2 linked regions of the Macaca fascicularis genome follow. The protein of the gene in region 1 purifies or fractionates together with the protein of each later gene. This does not show direct contact. Links are inferred from orthologs where the notes say so. Each region holds a gene or a part of one and is shown in the gene's direction. Other genes may lie near its edges.

Evidence for each region. Proteins that work in one complex are often made in the same cells at the same time.
Region 2: the proteins of DDX24 (region 1) and NIFK purify together in Homo sapiens (affinity purification with mass spectrometry; 3 studies listed by BioGRID and IntAct, counting the BioPlex papers as one, with this or other methods). This does not show direct contact. The link is inferred for Macaca fascicularis from reciprocal best matches to the Homo sapiens genes DDX24 and NIFK.

What each region holds. Positions count from the first base shown.
Region 1 is NC_088381.1:162,093,669-162,098,903, reverse strand, and holds the start of DDX24 (ATP-dependent RNA helicase DDX24), read left to right. Parts: upstream 1-1,776; 5' UTR 1,777-1,868; intron 1,869-3,198; 5' UTR 3,199-3,203; coding exon 3,204-3,915; intron 3,916-5,235. UniProt on the Homo sapiens protein: ATP-dependent RNA helicase that plays a role in various aspects of RNA metabolism including pre-mRNA splicing and is thereby involved in different biological processes such as cell cycle regulation or innate immunity.
Region 2 is NC_088386.1:10,002,442-10,007,715, forward strand, and holds the start of NIFK (MKI67 FHA domain-interacting nucleolar phosphoprotein), read left to right. Parts: upstream 1-1,835; 5' UTR 1,836-1,853; coding exon 1,854-1,958; intron 1,959-2,958; coding exon 2,959-3,096; intron 3,097-5,274.

The sequences.
Region 1 (5,235 bases):
TTCAATTTACTTTGCCCAGATCCATCAGAGGAATAACTATCTATGGCAGCCATAGCCTTACAAAATGTATCTTAAATAATAAAACTTGAAAGGCAAAATTACTTCTTGATCCATGGACTGAAGAATGGATCTTGGTTCGCAGACATGAAAACAACATTAATCTCCATATACATCTCAATTAGAGCTCTTGGGTGATTAGGCACATTTTCAATGAGCAATAATACTTTGAGAGAAATCTTTTTTCTGAGCAGTAGTCCTCAACAGTAGGCTTAAAATATTCAGTGAACCATGCTATGAACAAATGTGCTGTCATCCAGGCTTTGTTGTTGCACTTACAGAGCACAGGCAGATTATACTTAGTGTAATTCTTAAAAGACCTAAGATTTTTAGAATGGTAAACACGCACTGGCTTCAATTTAAAGTCACTAGCTGCATTAGCCTCTAACAAAAGAGTGAGCTTGGCCTTTGAAGCCAGACATTGACCTCTCTAGCTATGAAAGTCCTTGATGGCATCTTCTTCCAATAGAAGGCTGTTCTGTCTACACTGAATACCTGCTGTTCAGTGGCCACCTTCATCAGTGATCTTACCTAGATCTTGGGGATAACTTGCTGCAGCTTCTCCATCAGCACTTGCTGCCTCATCTTACACTTTTATGTTTCTGGAGACAGCGTCTTTCCTTAAACCTCATGAAATAATCTCTTCTAGCTTCAAACTTCTATAGCTTCCTCACCTCTCTCAGGCATCACAGAACAGAAGAGAATCAGGGCCTTGCTTTGGATTCGGTTTTGGTTTTAGGGGATGTTGTAGCCGGTTTTATTTTCTATCCAAACTACTAAAATTTTCTCCAAATCGGCAATAAACAGTTCCACTTTCTTATCATTCATGTGTTCGTTAGCGTAAAATGTTTAATTTCCTTCAGTAGCTTTCCTTTGCATTCACAAACTGGCTAACTTTTTTGGTGAAACTTTCAGCCTAGCTTTCAGCCTATCTTGCCTTTTGACATGCCTTCCTCACTAAGCTTAACCATTTCTAGCTTTTGAGTTAAAGTGAGAGATGTGCGACTCTTTCTTTCACTTAAACAGTTAGAGGCCCATTGTAGGGTTATTAATTGACCTAATTTCAATACTGTTGTGTCTCAGGGAATAGAGTCCCAAGGAAAGGGAGAGAGAAGGGAGAACGGCCTGTCAGTGGATTAGTCTGAACACACACAACATTTATCAATTAAGTTTGTCGTCTTATATGGGCACAGTTCATGGCGGCCCCAAACAATTACAATACAAGGAACACTCATCACAGGTCACCCTTGTAGCAGAATACATCTCCCTACGATGGACGCGTACGTCCTCTTTCGGGAACGCCCCACTCCGTCTACGAAGTAGCCGCACTTTCGCCACTTTACTTAATAAACTTGCTTTTGCTTTGCTATGCGGACTCGCCCTGAATTATTTCTTGCGCAAGATCCAAGAACCCTCTGTTGGGGTCTGGATCGGGACCCCTTTCTGGTAACAAAACTACACCAAAAATAAAAGAAAACACGTTACTGTGAGGTACCTGACAAAGTCTCTAGTCGGAGGGAGCACACAGAACCTCACCTTCTGTGGCCTTTCCCTAAGCGGGGAGGAGCAGAGCTGGAAGAGGAGGGGCCAGCGCCCCAAGCCAGCTCTCCCATCAGCACAGCTTTGGTCCGCGAGGCAGCCAATCAGATAGCTGAGTTTGCCATAGGGGTGGGACTTCCTCCGCAGCGCGCACGAGTACGTGTGTGGAGGTCCCGCCCCGGAACTGCGGTTGCTTCTGCAGCTGAGGTACAGCGGCGGTTTCTGAGGCTCCTGACCGGCGACCAACGGAGCTGCCGTGGCGTCTTCACACGGTGAGTACCAAAACGAGCGGGGCTGGAGCGGACCCTGGAGAGGGGCTGAGGCCAGGAACCCGGGTTCCTATTCGCAGGTCTCTCTGGGCCGGTGGGTTCCCGGGTCCAGAGAGGGCGCCCGCAGGCCCAAGCCGTCCAACCGAGCTGCGTGCCATGGTCCCCGCGCCTTGGGCTCCTTGTCTGGGCATCAGGGCCTGACGGCCTCGGCTTCTCGGTTTCGTGCGCGCGTTCGTGCCTGAGACAAAGCGAGAGCGCCGCGCGAGACCGGCGTCACGAGGAAACAGAGGCCCTTCTACTCTGCCTGACGCTCCCCGTGTCCTCGCCCGGTTCCTCGCGTGGCACCCCCCGCCCTCTCCTCGCTGAACCCCGCGTGTTTTTTTTGCCATGGCGCAGCGGGTCCGGCGGGCACCGTGTGCGAACGTGCTCTTCTCGCCGGGCGCCATGCTCAGCGGTTTTTGACGTGCGTCACTTTTTCGTAGTGGCGTATAACGATTCTGTGGGACAAATGTCCTCGTTATTCCCATTATGCAGACGGGGAAATAGAGACTCAGAGATGGATACGTCCACCGCAGAGCCACAGCTGACGAGTGGTGGATCCGGATTTGAACCAAGATTTACCTTGGTCTTTTTCACGGAACGTGTTGTCTTCCTTCGGCTTTCTGAAAAGGAAAAACCTGGATCGAGTTCCACCCAAACGAGTTGGGCCTAAATGGCCTTTAAGCCACTTAAAATATGATGAAAAAGCTGGATGGGTTTTAAGACGCTTGGCAAAGGAAGGGATGGTAGAGCAGGCATTTGCTCTCTCAGGCAAGGCTTGAGAAGGAAGCAAGCGCAATACGCTTTTAATAAAGCTCACCCCTCCTGCCCCCACAAGAAAAACCCCTCAGATTCTTACTCTGCCTTCAGAACGGCTTATGTGTGGCAGGCTTCATCCTCCGTGCTTTACATAATTTCCTTTATTTACACAAAATATACAACTTAGATATTGTTAGGTACTCTTCCCCCTTTTTATAGATGAGAGCACTGAAGTTCAGAGAGGAGTGGGTGGCACTATCCAAGGTCACACACGCAGTAAGTGTTGAATTTGGAATTCAAACCAGGTCTAGCTCATACGTCTTTGTTCCATCACATGTGTACCCTGTGTTTCGGGCAAAGCTGTCTGTTCTGTGGTATTTCCTTCTTTGTTCTTCTCTAGGTAGGAGCAACTGTGTGATAGCCGTCTTTGTATCCTCAGTTCTTTGTAGGGCCTAGTTGCTTAGAAAATATTTGTTGCATCAGAACCCTCTGCTTCTCAGACACCAACCTAATAGAACATGTATCTCCTTTTCAGCAACCATGAAGTTGAAGGACACAAAATCAAGGCCAAAGGCATCAAACTATGGCAAATTTCAGACAAAGGGAATCAAAGTTGTGGGAAAATGGAAGGAAGTGAAGATTGACCCAAATATGTTTGCAGATGGACAGATGGATGATTTGGTATGCTTTGAGGAATTGACAGATTACCAGTTGGTCTCTCCTGCCAAGAATCCCTCGAGTCTCTTCTCAAAGGAGGCACCCAAGAGAAAGGCACAAGCTGTTTCAGAAGAAGAGGAGGAGGGAGAGTCTAGCTCACCAAAGAAAAAGATGAAGTTGAAGAAAAGTAAAAATGTAGCAACTGAAGGAACTAGTACCCAGAAAGAGGTTGAAGTCAAAGATTCTGAGCTGGAGGCCCAGGGAGATGGCATGGTTTGTGATGATCCGGAGGCTGGAGAGAAGACATCAGAAAACCTGGTCCAAACTGCTCCAAAAAAGAAGAAAAATAAAGGGAAAAAAGGTTTGGAGCCTTCTCAGAGCACTGCTGTTAAGGTGCCCAAAAAAGTGAAGACATGGATTCCTGAAGTTCATGATCAGAAGGCAGATGTGTCAGCTTGGAAGGACCTGTTTGTTCCCAGGCCGGTTCTCCGAGCACTCAGCTTTCTAGGCTTCTCTGCACCCACACCGATCCAAGCCCTGACCTTGGCACCTGCCATCCGTGACAGACTGGACATCCTTGGGGCTGCTGAGACAGGTAAGGGCAACTCCGGCCAAGGCAGGATTGCTTCTGGATTGAGCCCATAGCTACTAATAAGCCAGATAATTGGGAGAGAGAAGAATGTTGAGAACATAACCACAAAAGCAACGCTGAATAAAGGTGTTTAGAAGTCAGCCCCCTCTGGTTTGAAATATGCTTTTCCTGAATGGTACCCTAGCCATCACTTTTATCTCTCTCAGCTCTGTAGACCCCATTATCAACCAAATGGAGATAACAGTTTCTACCTCTTGCATTGCTGTGAGAGTTAAATGCTACAGTAAGCTAAAGCTTACACTGTACATTGGAAGTGGTCTGCAAATGGTAGTTTCTCCTGTTCTTGAGCCTTTTCTGAATGACTCATAGGGGTAAGGTAAGGCTAAGATCAGCCCTCTGGAGAGGTCGATCTTCATAAGTATAAGGAAGAACTGTCTAATTCTCAGGAGTTGTGCAAAGGTGAAAAGGGTTGCTGCTTTGGGAGTTGATGAATTTCTTGTCATTGGAAGGATTTGAGTATGATGGATAGTCATTGGGTGGATTTTGTAAACAGATTCAGCTATGACGTGACTGTTAGGACTAGGCTGTGTGAGGTTCCTGCAAGACTTTTGGAAGCAACGACAGGTTGGCTTTGCTGGATAACTAGACTACTGACTTGGGGGAGGAACTAGTACTGCCTGGAACTATTGGTCTGTTTAGACCAGCAGTGTCCGTTAGAAATACATATAGTCATCTCTTGATATCCATGGAGGATTGGTTCCAGGACCTCCCTTGGATACCAAAATCCAGGGATGCTCAAGTCTGATATAAAATGGTGTAGTGCTTGCATATAAGCTATGCACATCCTCCTGTATATTTTAAATCATCTCTAAATTACTTATAATACCTCATACAATGTAGATCTTATGTAAATTGTTACACCGTATTGTTTAGGGAATAATGACAAGAAAAGTCTGTACGGTGTTTAGTACAGATACAGTTTTTTTTTTACCCCCTGAATATTGTCGATCCCCAAGATGCAGAACCCACGGTTACAGAACGGTGATTGTATAGTGTAAAATACATGTGTAATTGAAAATTTACTAGGAGCCACATTTTTTAAAAGTTAAAAAAAACTAGTGAGATATTTTACATTTTCTTACTAAATTTTTAAGTAATAAATTACTTAAATTTTTAAACAATTTTAAAATTTTAATTAATTTTTAGTAATAAATTACTAAACTTGCAGCACATGTCAGGTTAGAGTAACTACATTTTAAGTGTTCAATAGACACGTTGTGCTTTGGGTTTCTGGAACAGTGGTCAGGAAACTCTTGATGAGGT
Region 2 (5,274 bases), on another chromosome or scaffold:
TCAGCACTCTGTTAAAACGGACCAATTAGCTCTCTGTAAAATGGACCAATCAGCAGGATGTGGGTGGGGTCAGATAAGTAAATAAAAGAAGGCTGCTCCAACTAGCAGTGGCAACTTGCTCAGGTCCCCTTCTATGCTGTGGAAGCTTTGTTCTTTTGCTCTTGCAATAAATCTTGCTGCTGCTCACTCTTTGGGTGTGCACCGCCTTTATGAGCTGTAACACTCACCACAAAGGTTTGCAGCTTCGCTCCTGAAGCCAGCAAGACCACAAACCCACCAGGAGGGATGAACGACTCCAGACGCACTGCCTTTAAGAGCTGTAACACCGCAAAGGTCTGCAGCTTCACTCCTGAAGCCAGTGAGACCACAAACCCACCCGAAGGGAGAAACTCTGAACATGTCCGAACATCAGAAGGAACAAACTCTGGACACACCATCTTTAAGAACTGTAACACTCACCACGAGGGTCTGTGGCTTCATTCCTGAAGTCAGGGAGACCAAGAATCCACCAGTTCTGGACAAAAAAGGTGTAAACAGCCACAGCCTCGCTTAAAACCCAACCACCCCCTCGCATTTACAACAAAACCCCAGTTTCATACTTTGACACACAGAGCCATGGGACTCCAGCCTGCCCCCTCGCAGCTCTTCCCTCCTACGCTGGGCTCCAACCCCACTGCTGGGTCCTTCTTTCTATACCTAGGAACACATGTGTAGGCCTGTCTGATCCAGCAGATGGCAGGGCCTCAGTTCTCCAGACCCTGCTCCTTAGCCTTCAGGCTTCGCTGCCAACACCACCTCCTAAGGGGGACCCTCCTGCGTCACCCAGTGTGCCTCTCCCCCACGAGGTTCTTTCATCTCTCAAAGCAGCCATGCTGCCCCAGGCTGTAAATTCTCTAGGGGTCTCCACACAGGAGGGGCTCACACACTAGTGAGTGAAATAACCAAATTAGGGCTGGGCACGGTGGCTCACACCTGTTATCCCAGCACTTTGGGAGGTTGAGGCGGGTAGATCACCTGAGGTCAGGACTTCGAGACCAGCCTGACCAACATGGTGAAACCCCATTTCTACTAAAAATAAGCCAGTGGGGCGTGGTGCGGGCGCCAGTAATCCCAGCTACTCGGGAGACTGAGGCAGGAGAATCACTTGAACTCTGAAGGCAGAAGTTGCAGTCAGCTCAGATTGAGCCATTTCACTGCAGCTGGGGCAACCAGAGCGGAAACTGTTTCGAAAATAATAATAAGCAAATTGAGGAATGTGAGCAGCATCTCGGGCACCAGTACTGTTTTATAATTGTAGACCGCCTTTCTAAGTAGGCGTGAAGGTAATTGTTTCAGGCACTCTTAAGCCAAGCCAATCGGCGCCCCTACAGCGGAGGGCGCGGAAACTATCCCCAGCCCAGCCCCAGACCCCACTCCCCCCCGCCCCGGGGCCCCCCTGCCCCGCACCGCTCTGTCCACCCCCCCCCGTCTCCACCCCCACCCCTGTCCCCACCCCACCCCCGTCCCGCCCCACTCCCCACCCCCGCCTCGGCACAACTCACGCCCGGTGCCGCGCCTCCGCGCGACTCATGCCTCTCCCCGCCCCTCGCCAGGCCTCGTGCCCCGCCCTCGCACCACGGCACAATTTATGCCCCGTCCCGCGTCCCGCGCCCCGCGCCTCGTGCCCCACCCCCGCTTCTCCGTGCTACTCCTGCTCCAACCCCGCGCGCGACTCATGGCCCTCCCCACCCCTCGCCACGCCTCGCCTCCGCGCTTCGCCACGCCCCTGTCCTGCCTCTACTTCCGCCTCAGGGGAGCTGGGAGCCCGTCGTTTCCGGGAGCGCCGCGTGGAGTTAGTGTTGGCCGCTTTTGGCATGGCGGCTTTTTCTGGCCCAGCTGGGCCGATCCTGTCGCTTAACCCGCAGGAAGATGCCGAGTTTCAAAAGGAGGTGGCGCAGGTTCGCAAGCGCATAACCCAGGTGAGCAGGCACCCTGGTCCAGGCTGCGAGCGGGGGCGACGGACAGGGTCTAGGGGGTATCCGGGGTTGCGCGGTTCCCCGCCCGGACTCCCCTTGCCTTCGCGCACGCCTTCCAGAGTATCCTTAGCGGATTTGACCGAATCAGGGACCCACCTCTTAAGCTTGCAGGCCACGGTTTCTGAGACTAAAGGGTTTACGCTGGTGGGTAAATGATGGAGAGGTTTGGCCGCTGAGGCCTTGGAGCCTTCATGTGGAGGGTAAGGGGGAAGTATTGGGGTGACGGAAGCCGCGGAGGGAACCACCTGGAGGGAATAGGTTCCCATACCACAGGTTGTCTCCGGGTTAGACCTGTCACGCTTCCGCGTTCCCCCCGAAAACGGGGGCCCCAGACTTAACACATTCGGGAGGTTTGTATGCCGGGTTGGTGATCTGGGAGTTATTAAAATAGAGTAGTTGCCAGGTTCCGCTTGCTGACCAGGGCCCCTGACATCGCTTATACTTTCTGTGGTTTTTAGCATAAACTACACAGGAAAACTTAGAAGTTCTTGTTACAGAGGTAAGGGTATGATGGTTGAGACGCTGAAAGGCTAATCTGTATTGTGAGAGTTAGCAAGCGTCTCGAAAATTTTTCGATGAAATGCGAGTAAACAGTAATATGCATACAAAATTGAAGGCTATATTTATGTAGAGTTCTCTGGGCAGAAGATCCAAAATGGCTTGTTCGAAGATGTCCTTGCTTATCCGTTGATTGACATAGTTATTGAGCACTAACATTATACTGGGTGCTGGGATGCCAGGCTGGAAAGATAGTTGATTACTGCTTGGCCATGGCCTTTGTGGGGAGAGAGACACTCAACAGCCACTTCTTTAATTACTACTGTGGTAAGTGGAAATGCGGAGTAGGTTCTTGGGCCTAGGGCTAGGGGTTTTGTAAGTTTTGTTACAATGTGATTTTCTTATTTTAAAAAATATTTAATTTACCTGGTCTTTATGTCTTCAGCGGAAAAAACAAGAACGACTTACTTCTGGAGTAGTCTATGTGGGCCACCTACCTAACCTACTTAACGAAACCCAGATCTTTTCGTATTTCTCCCAGTTTGGCACTGTGACACGATTCAGACTGTCCAGAAGTAAAAGGGTAAGATTTTTAAAGTTGGATTTGACGTTTTGTTTTTCAAATGTGTGTGATTCTTGACATTAAAGAGCACGTTCACATACTCTTATCAGATTTCATTCCAAAAAGAAGAGTGGAGGTTTAGAATCTGAAACATAGAATCCCGGCACATAAACTTGGGTTGTAGCCATAGGCACCTATTTGATTTAGCATCTAGGGGATAGGGTGTGCATCCATCATCTGTTAGTTGTCCTAAAGATACAGATTATAGGTAGAATTGAGGTCCCTTTTGTACCCTTCCCAGTGTTCTTCACCTTCTCCTTTAATTAGGGAATTAAATTCACAAATTCCGTTTTCTTTTTTTTGAGACAGAAGCTTGCACTGGAGTGCAGTGGTGCGATCTCAGCTCACTGCGACCTCCGCCTCCCAGGTTCAAGCGATTCTCCTTGCCTCACCCTCCCAAGTAGCTGGGATTATAGGCACCTGCCACCACACCTGGCTACATTTTTTTTGTGTTTTTAGTAGAGACGGGGTTTCATTAGTTGGCCAGGCTGTTCTCGAACTCCTGACCTTGTGATCCTCCCACCTCAGCCACCCAGAGTGCTGGGATTACAGGCGTGAGCCATCGCTCCTGGCCACAAATTCAGTTTTCATTGCTATATATGTTTATAAGTTTTTACTGTATCTATATATATATGTGCTACAACACGTGTGTACATATATAAATGTACATATAGTATTATTTTAAAATTATTTCTATCATTCTTCAGCTGAATTTTTTTACTCAATAATCTGAGCTTTATCCGTGTAACTCTAGTGCCTTTGTTATCATCATTGCTTGTTACTTAGGTAACTAAAGTTTATCCACGCTCCTATTGAACATTAGGTTTTGTTTTGGGGTTTTTTTTTTTTTTGAGACAATCTCACTCTTGTCACCAGGCAGCTGTAGTGCAGTGGTACGATCTCAGCTCACTGCAACCTCTGCCTCCACATTCAAGTGATTCTCCTGCCTCATCCTCCTAAGTGGCTGAGATTACAGGTACTGGCCACTGCACCTGGCTAATTTTTATATTTTCAGTAGAAACCGTGTTTCACCATGTTTTGGCCAGGCTGGTCTCAAACTCCTGACCTCAGGTGATCCGCCCACCTCGGCCTCCGAAGGTGCTGGAATTACAAGTGTGAGCGAGCCACTGTGCCTAGCCTGAACATTAGGTTTTTTACTATTTTTAACTCTTTACATGAAGCTGCTAGGAACAATCTTTGTGCAGGTATAGACAGATTTTTCTAGAAGAGCATTTTGCAGACTGGCTCACAATAAGAAGTAAGTTTTTACCATCACAGAGAAGATGAGGGTTTTCAAAAAAAGTTTCATAGCACAAACCAGCACACATACACATACATGTAAGCATAACTGAAATAAAAGCCATATGAGACAATATTTAAACTTGTTTTGTGTGATTTGCTGATTTTCTATTTCATTCTATTCAGGGTTTTTTTGGTTGTTGTTTTGTTTTGTTTGAGACGGAGTCTCGCTCTGTCGCCCGGGCTGGAGTGCAGTAGCACAGTTCCTCAGCTGACTGTGACCTCTGCCTCCCAGGTTCAAGCGATTCTCCTGCCCTCCTCCAGACTAGCTGGGATTATAGGTGCCCGCCACCATGCCTGGCTAACTTTTTTTTTTTTTTTTTGAGACAGAGTCTCGCTCTGTCACCCAGGCTGGAGTGCAGTGGTGTGATCTCGGCTCACTGCAAGCTCTGCCTCTCGGGTTCACGCCATTCTCCTGCCTCAGCCTCCCGAGTAGTTGGGACCACAGGCGCCCACCACCACACCTGGCTAATTTTTTTTTTTTTTGGTACTTTTTTAGTAGAGAGGGGGTTTCACTGTGTTAGCCAGGATGGTCTCGATCTCCTGACCTCATGATCCTCCCGCCTTGGCCTCCCAAAGTGCTGGGGTTACAAGCGTGAGCCACCGTGCTGGCCTTCCCCCCCCCTCCCCGAAACGGAGTCTCACTCTGTTGCCCAGGCTGGAGTGCAGTGGCGCGATCTTGGCTCACTGCACCCTCAGCCTCTTGGGTTCAAGCGAATCTCCTGCCTCAGTCTCCTGAATAGCTGGGATTACAGGCGCACACCACCACCCCTGGCTAATTTTTGTATATTTAGTAGAGATGGGGTTTCACCATATTGGTCAGGATGGTTTCGAACTCCC